Lytechinus pictus: one gene and its partner. The protein of the gene in region 1 purifies or fractionates together with the protein of each later gene. This does not show direct contact. Links are inferred from orthologs where the notes say so. Each region holds a gene or a part of one and is shown on either strand. Other genes may lie near its edges. The genes, in order: gamma-tubulin complex component 2-like and gamma-tubulin complex component 3-like.

Region 1 (8,669 bases):
TTGACATAGTCCAATCTTTATAAGAAGATCTTTCTAAACTTTTCTGCTGGGAAGAAAATAACATAGCGCATTCCTCCAAAGCAGAAGGTCATTTTATGAACAGAAAATGTTGTATTTTATGTGAGTTTTAATAGTAGACTTTAATGATATTAAAAAAGAAAAAATCTGGATTTTGTCAAATAATATAATACAAGGTTTATCCTTATAAATCATATTTGATTTGATATGATTTATTTATTTCCACATTCCAATAACAAAAGTTTATACAAGTGTAATCATTTTTTTCTCTGCATAATCATAAGCAAAAAACCATAAAGAATAACATATGCATACAATACATACATTCTAACAATCTACTTGAAATATATCTATACCTGATAATTTTTTTTTTCCAAATTATTAAAACAAATAGCAGACAAAAATAAATAAATATAACAATATAATACATTTTGGAATGTGGGAGACCTCCATCTTAAGCTTAGAGCTTGAAATTGATGAAGGCCTCGAAAGGAAAGGGGAAGGAAAACCAGATAAACAGTGCAATAATATTTGCAATTGTATTGATTTAATACCATTGCAAATATGATTTATAAGGATAAACCTTATATTATATTACTGTATTTGATAAAATCCAGATTTTTTTTTCTTTTTGAATATCATTAAAGTCTACACTATTTGTTTGTTCAGCTGTCACTGTGGCCTTTCGGGAGAGGGGGTGGGGGCACAGTTACCTCTGGTTTTGAATGACATAACTGGAAATGCTATTGTCGGATTTTACAAGTATACCCACATATTTTGTTATTTTTTGTTATTTTCTATGACTTTAAGTCCATTGAGCAGTACTCCTGTGCATATAATACCAGGTAACATTTCTCTCTTTTTTTCTGTGTAGCTGGGCTGGTTTGGTGTCCAAGAACTACGAGATAGAGAGGGCATGTCTTGAGCTGGAATACGATACCAACAACCTCAAACACCAGGTGGATTCCTTGAAACCCAGTACTGACACACAATATGGACAAGCTAATCGCCAAAACGATGATGTTGATATGGAGGAGAGTGATGAGGATGACGACGACGACGATGATGATGAGTATGCTGCTTCAAGATGATACTGTGGAAGGGATTCTTACAATATTTTGAAATTTTCAGTGTCATTGGACTTTTTGGAGAATGACAAAAGTGGTGCAGTGTAAATTTAGCTTTTTAGCTATTTATTCCCTTCTTTGGAAACAGATGTTCTGAATATTTAGGAGATATATAAAAAGTTTAATTTAACTTGTAAAGATGAAATTTAATTCTGGCTGTAAATTGGAGTAATGGAGTACACTGTCTCAAAGTGATCGATAAATGCTGTGTGTAAAGGCCACCGCACACCTTACGACTGTTTGCGATCCGATTTTGGAACAAATCGCATTTTGCTCATTTTCTGAAAAAGTGAATGGAGCAAATAATTTTATTTGAGGTTAAAATTAATACTAATATAACCATTTTGAAAGATTACAAGCCTTTATTTTAGAGTAAAGGCCAAATTAGTTTCAAATCGTAGGCAATCGTACGACTGCTTACGTCTAGATATTAAATTCACTTTTATTCTAAGAAGGATGATAGCACAGTCACAGATTTGAACACAGGTATTCGTACAATGATTTAGGACATTACACAGTAAGATATTCCAAGTCTCAGTATTAGCATCAAATTCTACTACATTTTATTCTAAATTCGGGTCGCAGACCAATCGTATGGTGTGCGGTCGCCTTAATGTATCTAAGAATTGGGGCTTACTATAAGGCAATGGTATCACCAAAATGGTAGACATATTGACTCTAATCTTGTGAAGATCACATGCACTGCACTCAGATAAGCATGTATGGGACTACACCAATATTGTTGGCCACACACTTCAATTGTCATTTTAATGACCAATCCTTTACACTTGATCATTTTCACATCATATGTCTTAAATATCATGAAAATAATTGGATTGCTCACAAGGATTATTTCCATCTTTCCAATAATTTTCGTTTATCTTTAAGCCTATTTAGATGGGCTTTTTTCAACCAAAATTTTTGATGGGGGATCAGTGGGACCCAACCCCACCACCCCTGCTTCGATCTCGGCTGGAAGAGGTCCGATTAACATAAATTTTGCAAGAGACATGTTGAAAATAAATGCCATTTGTGGTAACGATCTCAAAATGAGTTCGAACAGAATCCAATAAAGTAACCACCCCGGTATTTGTTTGTATTAATACAAATTTATGCCAAATGACTCTGGAAGGAAATATTTGATTACTGAGAAATAAACAAAATAAGCACAGAATTCCATATAATGTGTCCTTTTCCCAGAAATATTAATCCACTGTCCCACGTATGCTTTTTGTCTCGCCCACCAGAGGTGAAGGCGAGACTTAGGGATCCAAATGTCGTCCGTCACAAACCTTATGACACAAAACTCCACAACCGTAAGTCGCTTTTCAACCAAACTTGGATGATAGATGGACATGGGGGACCTGCATTTTATGCTGCAGTCAGAGGTCACATGTTAAGGTCAAAGGTCATTTTCAGGTCAACATTAAAGTTTATGTGCAAGGCTCTTATGACAAGTGTTATTCCATCCCAGTCATTTCACAATGAAGTTTCGATACAATTATGTTGCGTGCCCTCGCAAATTACGATATTTCTGGTTGTTTTCATAAGTGGGCGAGACACAAAATCGCTTTTGCCTTGTATTTAATAGTGATCATACGTTAATGTACTGAAAAATAGATCTGTGATGACCTTGATTTTAATGACTTTCTCATGAAATAATTGTCTGCTGCAACTATTTTTTGCAGCAGCAGCATCATTTTTAGGTACTACACTGTTGTATATTATATGCATGTACTCTCATTTCAATATCATCTTATTGTTGAATAAGGTGTATTCATGGCACATATACATTGTATTGCAAATGCAATTTAAAAATAACCTGGGCTTATAAAGAGCTAAATAGCCTTAAATCTTAAAGAACCAGACTGGACCCCAATCATATATTAACAATTGAAAGCTCATATAATACTAAGCTAAGCAATGCAAGCTTTATGCATCTCTACTGCTTACCAGCTGAGTATTCTACTTCAGAAAAGCTCTAAGCTCTCTACCAGGCTTCGAAAATAGGCTTTCTTGTGCTCTACACTGGCCTCGAAACCGTGACGTCATGCAGTGCTAGAAGCGTTGTGATTCCATAGGTTTGTACGCAGAATAAGCGGTTGATTTTTCACTTTTCAAATTATGCATTCTACTTTCCTTACTTCTATCACATAGAGATATCTTTAGCTGCAAACTTGGACTGATCAAATCTACAGTTTTAGATTATATTTTACCATATTTATTTCCCGCTTATTTTGCGCAGCTTTCCAATTCTATCTGCATTCAGATTAGATTACACATAACAATTTTTCCTGACGTAGCAGTTGTGTCCAATAAGAGTCAATCAAAGAAATCAAAAAGAACTTTGTGAAGACTGAAGAGTTGTATGTTTCCATTCATTTGAGCACAGAATAATTGTTAGTGCCATTTTCCTCTGCAAATTGAAATAAAAATATATAAGCTGGAAAGAAAATCTTTTCTTCGTACAAACCTATGGAATCACAACCCTCCTGACACAATGTGACTTCACATAAATCAATGTGTTCTGTTTATTATTTGATTGCATATTGAGATATTTTGAAAGGAAATAGATGTCAATCATGCTAGTTCATTTTTGTTGAGAACTAGCTTCATTTGGATTAGTTGTAATGAATCCAGTCCTGCTGTAAAAGATTCATTTTTATGTTGTAAATAAATTTCCTATGAAACTGAATCATTGCAGCATTCAACTGTTTTGTCTATTTTCATTTCACTGATTATCATTTTTGTGGTGATCACAGTTAGAGCTACATTTAAAGGGGAATTTCACCCATTGATAAGTTGGTTTGAATAGTGAAAAAAAGATGGAGAAAAATACTGGTGAAGGTTTGATGAAAATCTGTCAAGAATAACAGAGTTATGAATTGCTCAAAGTTTTTTTTATTTATTGACCTTACAGACAAGTAGCTCCTCCATGTGTTATGTAATCTGAGTCCCCCAAAATGTCATTCTCTCAAAAAATTGGAAATGATTTTTACGGTGGATAAATTATTACACACATTTCATACCCAAATCTGCAAGAAAAATATTTGAATTCATGTTAAAAAATATGGAATGTATGGAATTTTTATGACATAATTGCTAAATGGAGAAACTCCTCGCATGTGATGACACATATTAGATTATTCTTTGATGGAATTTCATTGAAAGTTCACCAATATTTTCTCAATTTTATTCTGCTTTTATTAAAACCAACTTGTCATCAGGGTGAACCTCCCCTTTAAAGACTTTAAATGCTTAGATGCGATTATATACCCCTCCCTGGATTATGAAGATAAAGTTTGTAATTGTTATCTAACAGGTACTATAGTAACAGTTAGATGCTTGGTGCTTCTTGGCCAATCAAATCCTGGAAAGATTTTGTATCAGATAGTGGTATATATAATGATTACCAAAAATACTGAGACAGCTAGCTGGTATATTGGCCAGGGGAAAATTTAAAAGGTAAACAAATGTTTTTGACCTTTTTGAATTCTATTGTGATTGATTTTGACATAATACAAAGATAATACTTTTCCTTTTCATTTTCTTTCATTTTCTCCTTTATTTGAATGGTCATTTCGGGTCCCAGACCCCCCCCCCCCTCCCCCCTAAATAAAAGAGGAAAAATGAATAGTATATACTGAAACAAATTTTTTTTTAATAAATAAGTGGTATATATAATTTGCGGGAAAAAAATGAGTTGGTGATATTCGATTTTGACTGATGGCCATGCATGCATTGCATCACGAACCAACGCCAACAATTTTACGTTAAAAAAAAAAAAAACGATAAAGGCTAGGCGACATTACAATACGTGAACGAGGATACTCTTCTAATTTGACGTTTCGCCGCGAACATTAACAGAGAATGCATCTCGTAAGTCAAATTTGTTTTGTTTTTTAAGTTTGAATTAGGGGCTAATAAGGATTTCGTTTCACATGTAACCATTTTTAATTTTCAGAATGAAATTTAGAACATAGATCTTAAACATTTTATCGAATGCATTGAAATATAGGATTTACAACGGCCGAAATTTGTGTAGGCATAAAGTAACTAACGTGAAAAGTGGTTTATGGGACCGTAGACTGGGAATCTTGTCCGTCTGTCAAGGGTCGGGCGTTATTCCCCGCGCGAGCTGGGCGGCGCGTGCCTCGGCTCTGCCGGCCGAGGCTGTGCTAGACCAAAAGCTTCGGTCTCTGTTTATGGTTGTTCCGCTGAACTACGTTGGACCCAATCACCAATTACAGAGAGACAGAACTGAAGTTCTAACTCGATCTGTACAGCCTACATGGGGAGACAATCTCCCACAAGTGACATTGGACTAATTTGGAGACTTGCTTTGCCTTTGCAAAAGGACAAAAGAAACAACACCAACAAAAAGTCAAAAGCATGATTTTTTTCCACCCAAAATTTTGTCTCACTGAGGTCAGAAGCCCATTTGTTTTGTGTGTGATTAACAACAAAAATCCTTATCAAAACAAAAGTAGACGGTGAATTTTTAAAGTAGACGGTGAAAAGGGGTAATTTTTCATGAGGAATCTGCTTATCACATTTTTATTTGCCGCCAAGGTAATCCTTTTGCAGCAAATGTAAACAAAGGAAATTGGTCTCCAAAACTGGAGACTGTCTCTGAAATTGGATACCCAAATTCTTTACAAAAGTCTCTGATATTGGAGATAATCTCCCACATTGGAGACAGTCTCCAATATTGGCCGTGCGCCTCTACTGACAGGGACTCAATGGCCATATTAATATTACCTCAGGCGATGTTCGTGCAGGCTCCACTTCACTACCGCTACACTCCGCTCCACCTACCCGAACATTGGGACCGTGAACCATTTCGGATATACCAAGTCACAAAGGTGGGATGGCAATCATGATAATCGTAAAAAAAATATATATATATATAACGAAAAAGATGATTGACTTAATATCTTACTCTACACCCGTATTTCACTCCGTTTCCATCCTCCGGTTATCCTCAAAATTGGTGATTTTGGGCCAGTATCAAATTCCTCACACGTATTATTCACGGCCGATTTCGAAACATTGTATGCAACGAACGTAGAGGGCAGCAACACACATCAGTGTGAGGAAGGTCCACTCGATACGGCTTTTGAAATCGGCCGTGAATAATATGTGTGAGGAATTTGATACTGGCCCAAAATCACTAATTTTGAGGATAACCGGAGTATAGAAACGGAGTGAAATATGGGTGTAGAGTAAGATATTAAGTCAGTCATCTTTTTCATTATATTTTTTTGGTTTAATTTTTACGATTATCATGATTGCCATCCCACCTTTGTGACTCGGTATATCGGAAATGGTTCACGGTCCCGATGTTTGGGTAGGTGGAGCGGTAGTGAAGTGGAATGGAGCCTGCACGAACATCGCCTGAGGAGTGAGGTATGGCCATATGTACTTTATGACTTATGTATTATAAGCTCAGATAAACCAGGGAAGTGGGAGTTGCGTGACAGCCGAAGCCCGGGCCGGGGGGGGCCACTTACATTGACTAGTGGATACCATGCGCGACCCCAAAAACACGTTAAAAGGATGTCTTTTTCAAGATAGGGCACGTTACGTACGTAACGTAATAAGGGTGTCAAAAACACTAAAATAATTTTTAAAAAGGGTATCTACTTTCGCTAGGGTCAAATTTGCGATGGTGTAAAAAATTAAGACTAAAAATAAAATGTCTTATAAAGGATGTACTTTTTGCCCCAAGAGTCAACACTACGTGTTTGGAGTACGATTTGCGCGAGTGAGGCTGTACTAAAACCAATGATGTAGGTAAAGGTAAAACCGACGACCGACGTCCATGACATAATAATTGAAATATCGCTGTATTTGTTTAGGGGTTCAATTCAGGGAATACTTGCCAATAGTATCGTTTTTTTTCCAATACTTGTTAAGGGTAGGGTTTCACACGCCAATACTTGTTAAGGGGTGCATTTTCAGAGTATGGAAAATACGTGTTTAGGGTGCTTTTTGAGACCTCATGGTCGTGCATGGTATCCACTCGTCAATGGAAGTGCCCCCCCCCCCCCCCCCCGGAGCCGAAGTAAGTCACTGTTTTTTTTTTCCTTTTAAGAATTAGATCTAAGTTTCTTTTTTCCCGTTTTGGTGCATTTCAGGCCAAAACAGAATAATGTTTATTTTGGTCCAGCTCTTTTATATATTTTTATGAAATAAAGTAAGCCTGAGTCATAAAATTCGATTATTTTGAAATCCGGTGTTCGACAGCTTTTATTCTATCGAACATCGATGCATCGAATTGTGGAGGCAGGGAAAATCAAGTCAATTTTTTTTGCTCCGGCCGTCGATGCACGCACTGCGACGGTATGCGCTGGAAGGGTACGCGTTGCACAAGCAGATGACAGAGCAAAAGTTCACTTGTATTTTCTATGATCACAAACACAAAAAAAGGGACTAATGCAGAATTCTTCCCAAAATATCTTAAACAATGATATTTGCAGATGACAACATAAGTTTAAAATGAAAATTAAAGACATGAATCACGCAGAGTCGATCCGAATGATTTTTGGTCAACTAGCATGAGCAGTCCGGACTCGCTTACACTACAGCCCGTCTGCAGCCCCGTTCACTCACTCTTGTGAAACGACAGGCGTGCTTGCCGGCAAAACAGTGCTCTACCAGTGCAGAGCACTGTAACTCGCCTGAGATGTAGTTGTTTATGTTTATTTTGATGATTGTGTGAACCATATGAAACGGCCGGCCAACGTTTGATCTATTTTTTTTTTTTCGATGCACCGATTTTGCAAAATCTGCACCGGCGCTCGATGACATCGATCGAACACCGATTATAAAATCGATTTGATGTTGACGGGGGGATTTTGCATTGTTAACCCCCCAAATGGCGTCTGCAAGATCGCGAGCTGTCTGTGTTCGAGGAGAAATTTTTTTGTTTTAATGTTAAAAAACTCCTCAAAACAGACGGCTGCCAGCTGTCTAAGGCTGTGCCTGCCCTCCCTGGCTTGATCAGGGCTGAGCCTCGCACCTCAGGTTGCTCTGTTCCTCAGTTGTTAGACCGAAATATTATTTCACTGGGCGCTAATGCAGTTTCGCACCGGCACACTTCGAGCAAATTTCCCCATCAAATGGCATTTGGAAATGCCCGGGGGGGGGGGGGGCACTTCCATCAGTAACAGGCGCTGGTCAGAAAATTGGGATCGTCCCAGTTTGTTTGGGACTGTCTCAGTTTTCAAAGATTTCTCGACACAAAATATCTAGGAAACTAAGTATAACTTCATTCTCCTGACTCAGGAGAATGAAGTTATAGACTATACTTAGTTTCCTACATTTTTTATGTGGAGAAATGTACCATTTTCAACATGTATCCTTTTAAAAGTATGCATGCAGTGCAAAACCTGTGAACAACTACAAACTGAATTTATTATTATTTTTTTATTACTTCTCCAGATTTCCAGATGATTGAATTTAGACCTTGATCATTTTACAATGAGTGAATTTAAGATACATCATCTCGTCAGTGAGCTG
Region 2 (9,470 bases), on another chromosome or scaffold:
CCTTATGGCCAAGTTTCATGAACTAGGTCCATATACTTTCTAAGTTATGCTGTCATTTCAAAAACTTAACCTCAGGTTAAGATTTGGTGTTGACGCCGCCGCCGCCGGAAAAGCGGCGCCTATAGTCTCACTCTGCTATGCAGGTGAGACAAAAATTGCTTTTTGACTCCAGAAAGTTGTTGCCCACTTGCAGCAAAAAAAACCATGAGAAAGTCTTTTAAATAAAGTTTAATTTTCACTAAATTATCATCTAGATCTAGTACATTAATGTAAACTTAATTTTGTGATATCATGAAATCTCAGCTCAAAACAGAATTTTTTTATGATCACTGACACAAAAAAGCATATGTGGGACAGTGCATTAATATTGCGTGGAAAAATACCCATCATTTGATGGAATTCTGTGGTTATTTTTTTCATTTCTCAGCATTTATGCATTTTCTTCCAGAGCCATTTGGCACATTTTGAGGTCATTACCACAACTGGTATTTATCTAATCACCTCTTTGTGCAGTGCAGCACGGCATCAAAGTTATATCTTTAAAAGAAAAAGGTCACTGACCAACTGGCCGAGCCTTCCGATTTTGGGCTAAATCGGATTCTCAATTATTTCTATTCCCATTATTTGAAATTGAAATAAGATTTTTGTAGATTAGAACACGTTTTTTTTTTAGAATTTGATTAAAGGTAGCAAAATTTAGTCCCATTTCATTTAAACAACCTTGCCAACATGGTACTCAGCACAATAACAGTTGACAAGTTGTGTGCAAATTATTAATAAGTATAGTATGTATTTGTTTATTTTAGCAGTCCACAGGTCTCCGCTGGAAAATCATGGATGGTCACCGGTCAAACAAAAATCTGTTAATGACTCAGCCCTAGTCCCAGGTGATTCAACTTTGTACAGCCAAAAAAGCAATATTTTTCCAATATAAATTGTACCTTGTTTCTTGTTGAGTAGAGTTTGTACCATTCTCAGGAGAAGTCCAGCAGGGCTGTTGTCCCCATCAGATGCTCCGGGGTTAGACATGGTGAAGCTTGCCATTATCTACATCACCTACCGACAGATAATCAAAGAGAATCAGGAAGTCAAACATATGATGCTACACGGTAAAAGCAATGGTTTGAGTCTAGTCATCTTGTTTTGTCTTGTCTTGGATTAAATCAGGAATGTGTTATGAAGGATAGGAATCTATCCGCTAAGTTCCAGCCTGCTTTAACCCCATCTGACGAGCCGGCGACGAGTCCATTGTTTTTAAACATGTGTTTCAACAATGCCTTTTCAGCTGTTTCAACAAAACAGACATTTTCATTTGGCGACAGTTTCTCGTAGCAACAAGAGAGATTTGGATTTTAACTTGGCTGGTTCAGTTTTAATAATGCATTAGTACAGTATAACGGGTATCAGCAAACAGAAATAACCATAATTCGAGTAATATCAAAAGTTAATTATCTCAGAGCCGACAAATAAATTATATAATTACTGGTATACAAAATGTGTTCATAATCATACACCTTTTAAAATGAGTGAGCTCTAAAAGAGCGCAAATTGTCGGAAAGTGCTGCAATTTGTCCATTTTGTAAGTAGTTATAAAATTGTATATGTCTCTTTTTCACGATTCTATCATATTATGTTGACATGAAAACATCACAAGAGCTTCCCTTTTGCTGTCCATAACTAATTTGAAATTTTCAAAAAATATTGAGCCAAAACAATGCTTCTAGAGACAAAAATAGTAAATATTGATATTTCGCTTCGGCAGAAGCCAGTCGGATCCAAAGGGTTAACATCGGCACGCCACATGGAATATCAAACCCCCGGGGGGGGGGGCACTCAGTATATAATGCAGAGTGGGTATGTGCCGCGGAGGGGACCCCCATTTTTACACTGAAATTTCCGTTCCAAGGAATAGCATTTTTGTCTTATTGAGAAAAAGAACAAAGAAAGCCGCTCCAAGGCATAGCATTTCCTTCTTATCGAGAAAAAAGAAGAAAGAAATCCGCTCCAAAGCTTCGCATATTTTTCGTTACGCCGTTCCGGTCGCATTGATCTGCTACAATTTTGGTGAAAAGCGGCCGTAGAGCGCGTTTCGACCATCGCCTAAGCGCGAGCGCACCCGGCGGAGGCCGCGCTAGCTGCGTCATGCACGATTGCCCGTTCCATAGGGATGCATACGCACTTACAGAGATCCGTTCCGAGGACCCCCGTTTTCACAAACATTTGTAGTTCCGAAGCCCGTTCCGAGGACCCTCCTTTTTACAATAAGCCCGCTCCAAGGCCCCCGTTTTTTGCCTCGCCCGCAGCACACCCCTACCACTTTTTTGGTCGAGTGCCCCCCCCCCCCCCCCCCCCCGGGATCAAACCCCCGTGGAATGCTTTGTCAATGATTGGGATGCTATAGATTTTCAAATTAATGTATTGTGCTTGAGTTTCCTTAGACAGCTGGCAGCCGTCTGTTTCGAGGAGTTTTTAAACATTTTTTTATTTTTTTTATTTCTCCTCGTACACAGACGGCTCGCTAGCGTGCAGCCACCATTAGGGGACTTGCAATGCAAAATCCCCCCGTCGGGGCTCTTCAATTTTTGTCTTTGATGAATAAAATTTTTGAAAATTAACGCGACCAAAATGCAAATTAATATTCCCTCTTGGCATTAATTGCCAAAAAACAGAGAAAAATCAAGTTAAAAGGAACAAAAACAGTGACTTATACCTCGGCTGTCGCGCAAATTCACTTCCCCGTTTTATCCGCTCTTAAGTACATAAACATATGGCCAGTGAGTCCCCTGTACAGATCGCGCTAGAACTTCGGTCTCTGTATTTGGTGAGTGAAGCCAACGGAGTTCAGCTGAACGACCAACATAACAGAGACTGAAGCTTTTGGTCTAGAGTTTCCTTAGCCCTGTTTCGTTTCACACTGCATCTCTTACTTAGCACCGCAATTGTGGTGCTAGCACCACAATAAGCCGGCTAACCCTGCTATTTTGCAGGGCCAGATAGTACCGTACTATTTACCGTGCTAGCCCACTTTGCTAAAAGGAAAACGAAGTGGGCTAAGCTGCCTTAGAGTTAGACAGCTGCCAGCCGTCTGTTTCGAGGAGTTTTTTAACATTTTTTTTTTTTTTAATTCTCCTCGTACACAGACGGCTCGCTAGCGTGCAGCCACCATTAGGGGACTTGCAATGCGAAATCCCCCCGTCGGGGCTCTTCAATTTTTGTCTTTAATGAATAAAAAATTTTGAAAATTAACGCGACCAAAATGCAAATTAATATTCCCTCTTGGCATTAATTGCCCCAAAACGGAGAAAAATCAAGTTAAAAGGAACAAAAACAGTGACTTACCTCGGCTGTCGCGCAAATTCACTTCCCCGTTTTATCCGATCTTAAGTACATAAACATATGGCCATTGAGTCCCCTGTACAGATCGCGCTAGAACTTCGGTCTCTGTATTTGGTGAGTGAAGCCAACGGAGTTCAGCTGAACAACCAACATAACAGAGACTGAAGCTTTTGGTCTACCTTAGAGTCTAGACTTAGAGTTAGCTTAACCCCGGAAAATTGGTGGGGCTAAGAAGACACCCCTTAGCCCCACCAATTTCCTGGGGTTAAGGGGAAAAAGTGCAGTGTGGATAGCATATCATACTCCCGATTAATAAAATCTTATCTTATCTAACGTAAAACAAGTTTATCAGTTTATAACCCTATTTTAATTTTTACCTTCTATTGAATGTCGCCACAGACACGAAAGTGAATGCGTGGGTCATGTACAATCTCTGCGATCGGATCCTCGTCGATCTAACTTTATAATTATATTTTCTAAAGCCTGAAGAAATCATGATATTGCCTTGGTAAGGAGGTAAAAATAATGAAATCAATTCAGATCAATATGAGTGTCTGTCTAAACAAAAAAAAAGGTATAAAAAAGCTACACTTACATTACAAGTTATTTTCAGAATCAGATACAATTAACAAGTACAAACTTCTCGTTGAAATCTACGCCTCGGCGCCAGTTTTTCAGACCGCTTTTTAGCTTCGATCTCATTGAATTGTGCGCACTGCGCGTGAACACATCCATGGCAGGCATGGGGCGGCTTTCCTCGAGCCCCCCCCCCCCCTCCTCCTTCAAAATATTCAATTCAATTCAATTCAATTCATTTATTTTCTCTTTCAATCTTTTTACATTTACAATAATAGTTCAATAAACATATTTACAAAATATAACATTTAAATCATTTTTTATAATTCAATAATACCATGAAATCGAAAGGGAAGGAGACCAACTAAAAAGCAGAGCTTGTAGGGTGAAGGCCCCCTTTTATAAGTAAATTTTATGAATAAAAAATAAGATAAAATAAAGAAATAAACAATATATATATATATATATATATATATATATATATAAAATGATCTTAAAAAATAAACAAATAAAAATAAAAATAAATACATAATAATAAAAATAAATGATTCAGTATACACTGTATACAGAAATCATAAAACGATTAAACATATATACAAAGAGAAATTAATAAACACATTTACATATTAAGTTCTGAATTACATTACTTTGGGAAAAAACGATAATCTAATATGAATTCAGAAGATATATTTTAAGTTTTCCTTTGAAATTGTGTATTGAATTACATTGTATAATATCCTTTGAAAAAGAATTCCATAATTTTGGACCAGTAAAAACAAATGTCTTCTGTGCAAACGATGTTCTATTCAGAGGTAAATGAAAGGAACTCGCCTGGCGAGTGAAATGCTTATGAATTGTATTATTTTTTACAAACATATTATTAAAAGGTAACGGTAATTGTTTATTGATAAACTTGAACATTAACTGTCCGAGTTGAAAAGAATATAAATCTTCAACCTTCAAGACTTTATTTCTCAAAAACAGAATATTTGTATGTGCCCTGAATTCTGCATGACTAATAATACGAATCACTCTTTTTTGTAAAATAAAAAGTCTATTAATTTGAGAATTCGCTGCATTACCCCACGCAACAACTCCGTGATTCAAATAAGGTAAAATTAACGTTGAATACAATGATAACAAAATAAAATGGGGTAAGAAGTAACTTAATTTTCTAATGACACCGATGTTGCGAGCAATGATTTTACAAATATTATCAATATGTGCTTTCCAAGAAAGTTTTTCGTCTATGATCAGTCCCAAAAATTTAGTAGATCGCACTCTATGAATGACAATATCATTTAAAATTACATCTTTTGGTACATTCGTAATCTTGTTGCTAAATAGCATGTAGCTAGTTTTTTCTAGGTTAAGAGAGAGTTTGTTAGCTGTTATCAAATTAGACACATTTTTTAGTTCGTCATTGAATATTTGCGTCAATTGCTCTGGGTCGGGGTGCGACAGAAATATATTAGAGTCATAAGCGAAAAGTATAAATTGAAGCAATCTAGATGACATATCAATATCATTTATATAAGTAATGAACAAAAGTGGGCCAAGAATGCTGCCCTGTGGAACTCCACAAAGGACAGGTTTACGTTCAGAAATATTACAATCGAGTGAAACGAACTGTGAACGCCCGGTTAGATAATTCTTGAACCACTTTAGTGGTTCTCATCTTATTCCATAATGAGAAAGTTTATAAAGGAGAATGTTATGATCAACTGTATCGAATGCTTTTGAAAAATCTAAAAACAAACCAATCGTATTCGAAGACTTGTCATAAGCTTTGGCAACTGTTTGAACTAAAGAAAGTATTGCGTGGGAAGTGCTACTCTTTTCCCGGAAACCAAATTGAGTATCGGATAGGATGTTGTGCTTTTTTAAAAAACATATGGTTCGTATGTGAATATGAATAGATGGATAAAATAAAACAAAATAAAATGAAAAATGAGAGAAAAAGAGACGGGAAAGTGGGAGAGGAAAGACAGTTATAGCTAGAGATGACAGAAAAAAAGGACTGATTAAGATCGGAGAGAGACGGGTGAATTGGGATGCTAAAAAGCATATATTTATCCCGGATATATCTATCTACCCAAATAGGCCTAAGTTACATGGAGCTTTTAATTTTGAGCTTTTAACTCATTTTTTTTTACCACAAAGCAATGGAACTCGATCAAGAAGAAAACAAGTGTTCGGGTGATGAGACAGGGGGACAGGACTATCCCGGTCCCCGGAATTGGTCGATCCAGATAGGGTTGATGATCTATATTTTACACTTATATTGGAATTCAAGCATTATTTTACATGATTCATTTCTTGACAATTTCCTGGTGACTGAGGTATCAAGATGTTTCATATATGTTTAGACGTGACATTTTCTTCTTTTTTAAAAATCAGATACTACCGACCAAATGTTTTTTTCACTAGTTCATTCGTGAATTCAAATCTGTCAAGTTGTACAACTTGGTGAAAGGCCTATACAATAATAGGCCATTTCCCTATTTTATACGTGATGATCATGATAATTTTATTGATATACTTTCGACATCGAATAAGTCCAACATGATTATTCTTTAAACAGCTAGTGGTGTAAACAGCGCGTCTATAAAACCGGGGGGGGGGGGTGGGGGTTGATGCGGGTGGATGATTCCATATCGTAGGCCTAGTGGCGTACGCAGGGGGTGCAGGGGTTCAAACACCTCTTTAATATTTTTGATACCCAACCCCCCTCCCAAGCCCCTAAGAATTCAAACCCCCTTAAAAAAATATGAAAACCTTTTTTTTTGCTTGTCGAATTTTTGGGTGGTTGGAAACGACCTAAATTGGAAAACCTTTTTTTTTAGGTTGTTAACATTTCAATCACCTTGAACCCCCCCCCTTAAGAAATCCTGCGTACGGTCTGGTGTGGAGGTGCATGTGGGTGTGTGTGAGGGGGATTACCCCCCCCCCCCCCCATTGGTAGGCCTACATGGTTAGTGAGTGGGCAAAAGAGGAAACATATGTAGGGGCCTATTAGGTAGAAGAAAGAAATCACAGAAAAAGGGGCGGGGTGGGAGGTGCATGGGCCAGAGAAAAGACAATGAGAATCAAAGAAGGAAAACAAGTTAGGCGAGGGAAAGAAATGACAGGTATAGTTCTCAGAGAGAGAGAGAGAGAGAGATTGAGAGTGGGGGGAGTTTATGCTCATATAGAGGAAAAGAGAGTGAACGGAGAAAAGGGGAATCATATTGAGAGCAAGAGAGGGGGAGAGAAGGGGGAAGGAATTGTGAAAGGGGGTGAGAACTTAGGGAGTGGACAAAAGAAGAAACGAGAGAGCAGGGTAAAAAGGGGAATCACAGATATTGTGAAAGAGATCGAGGGGGAGCGGGGAAGAGGGGGGGTTCTAAAGACGGTTAGGGGATTGTCATTACATGAAAAGAGAGTTAAAGGGATGATCCAGGCTGGCGATATTCATATCTCAATAAATAGAGTAAAATTCACAAAGCAAAATGCTGAAAATTTCATCAAAATCGGATAACAAATAACAAAGTTATTGAATTTTACAGATTTGCATTATTCCAGTGAACCAGGTCTAGGCATGTCTTTATGAATATTCATTAGGCGGGCTGATGATGTCACATCCCCACTTGTTCTTTTGTATTTTATTATATGAAAGTAGGTTTATTCAAAAAATTTCTACCAAGAACTAAAACAATTGGATTGACAACTGATTAAATGCATTAGTTATTTATTGCCGCAACATAATAATTTCATCATAATGGAGACACATCATTTGCATATTTTGGCGGCCATATTGGATTTTGCCAATTTGCGGATAATGCTCAAGGTTACACGAGTGGCATCATCCAGATTCGTAATCAGCACCCTCGAATTGACAAGAAACCTTCAAAAAATATTGTATATATAAAAAAAACAAGGTTTGGTCAATTTTCTATGGGGCCTATCCTGGACTAGAAGGTGTCCAACAAAGTAGGGATGTCACTGTGGCGATCTCTCGAAAGCTTCTTGCTGCTCCTGGTTGAGGCCCGGTTGCTCCTGCCGGTCGTGACCCTGCTGCTTGATCTTGGAATCTTTCGTTAGTAATGATGATTTGCATATATTAATTCGTTCATACATCGCGATTTTTGCAGTCTAGTGCTCATTTTTGTGAAATTATTAGTTTTCCCTTTTCATATTTTACATAATAGCTAGTGTATACAATGGCCTATGGCGCCCATTTTGAATATCAGAAACATAAATATTTTGTCAAAAATTTTTTTTTCAGAGAGTATTTCACTCCTGCCACACAATTTCATGCATTTCACAGCCAATGTGCGGACAATTTTACGATATTCATGGGTAATTTGCATATTTTGGCGGCCATATTGGATTTTGCCAATTTGCGGAAAATGCTCAAGGTTACGCGAGTGGCATCATCCAGATTCGTAATCAGCACCCTCGAATTGACAAGAAACTATCAAAAAATATTGTATATATAAAAAAACAAGGTTTCGTCAATTTTCTATGGGGCCTATCCTGGACTAGAAGGTGTCCAACAAAGTAGGGATGTCACTGTGGCGATCTCTCGAAAGCTTCTTGCTGCTCCTGGTTGAGGCCCGGTTGCTCCTGCCGGTCGTGACCCCAGTGGCGTAACAGGCGGGGGGGGGCAGGGGGGCAAGTTGCCCCCCCCCCCCTGGCGGATTTCACCGGGAAAATAAACGAAAAGCGGGAAAAAGAAAAAAAGGAGGAAGAAAGAAAGGGAAAGGGGAAGGAAAGGGGAAAAGGAAAGAGGGGAAAGGAAAGGGACAGGGAAAAGAAAACGAAGAATTTAATGGGAAAGGAAGGAAAGCGGGAAATGTACAAAAAAGAACAATTGAGAAAGAACAAATCATTCCGAAAAAGGCCTATGTAATGCAATAGCACCGTGGGAAATAAATCAAAAGATGAAAAAATGGCAAACAATAGCGGGAAACGTAGGTAGAATGGGATTAGTCAAAAGCTAAATTGGAAAACAAAGAAAAGGGACAAGAAAAAAATAATAACATGACCGGGCTGCCGATGATTGAAATTAATGAGTGGGAAGAAAGATGGACTGCAAACAACATTGTGCTATAAGTTCGCTAAATTATATTCAAATAAGCTACCGGGGCTTTGCCCCAGACCCCAAGCAGGCTCTTTATTTATAACCTTCAAATGGCTCTATAACGCCCCCCCCCCGTTCAATCATGTTCAATCACTGGCATACAGGCGCGAGGGGGGGGTCTTGGTTCCACACCCAAGAGGAAATAAAAGAAATTATAGGAGACAACGTATAATGAAATGAATGGAAACAATGAAATGTGTTATTTGCTGAATATATAATGGAAAAATATATCACATAATTAGAATTTAATTTCAATAGGCAATTTTTTTCCAGCTCGCTTTGCACGCTAGCACTTTTTACAAAGTTTTCCCACTTTGCTATGATTTGCCCCATCAAAATATTTGGTTAATTACGCAACTGGGTTGAATCTATGTGTTGTGTAAAAGCTGTATTCTATATATACCTGCGATTTTATTAAAACAGCGGCAATCTT

What was found.
Region 2: the proteins of gamma-tubulin complex component 2-like (region 1) and gamma-tubulin complex component 3-like fractionate together in Drosophila melanogaster (co-fractionation; 3 studies listed by BioGRID). This does not show direct contact. The link is inferred for Lytechinus pictus from reciprocal best matches to the Drosophila melanogaster genes Grip84 and Grip91.

What each region holds. Positions count from the first base shown.
Region 1 is NC_087246.1:47,395,390-47,404,058, forward strand, and holds the start of gamma-tubulin complex component 2-like, read left to right. Parts: upstream 1-4,945; 5' UTR 4,946-5,024; intron 5,025-8,591; 5' UTR 8,592-8,630; coding exon 8,631-8,669. Other genes in the region: pre-mRNA-splicing factor SPF27-like, read left to right, coding at 893-1,109.
Region 2 is NC_087260.1:8,323,429-8,332,898, reverse strand, and holds the start of gamma-tubulin complex component 3-like, read right to left. Parts: upstream 4,018-9,470; 5' UTR 3,932-4,017; intron 3,780-3,931; exon of another isoform or gene 3,714-3,779; intron 1,057-3,713; 5' UTR 1,045-1,056; coding exon 942-1,044; intron 1-941.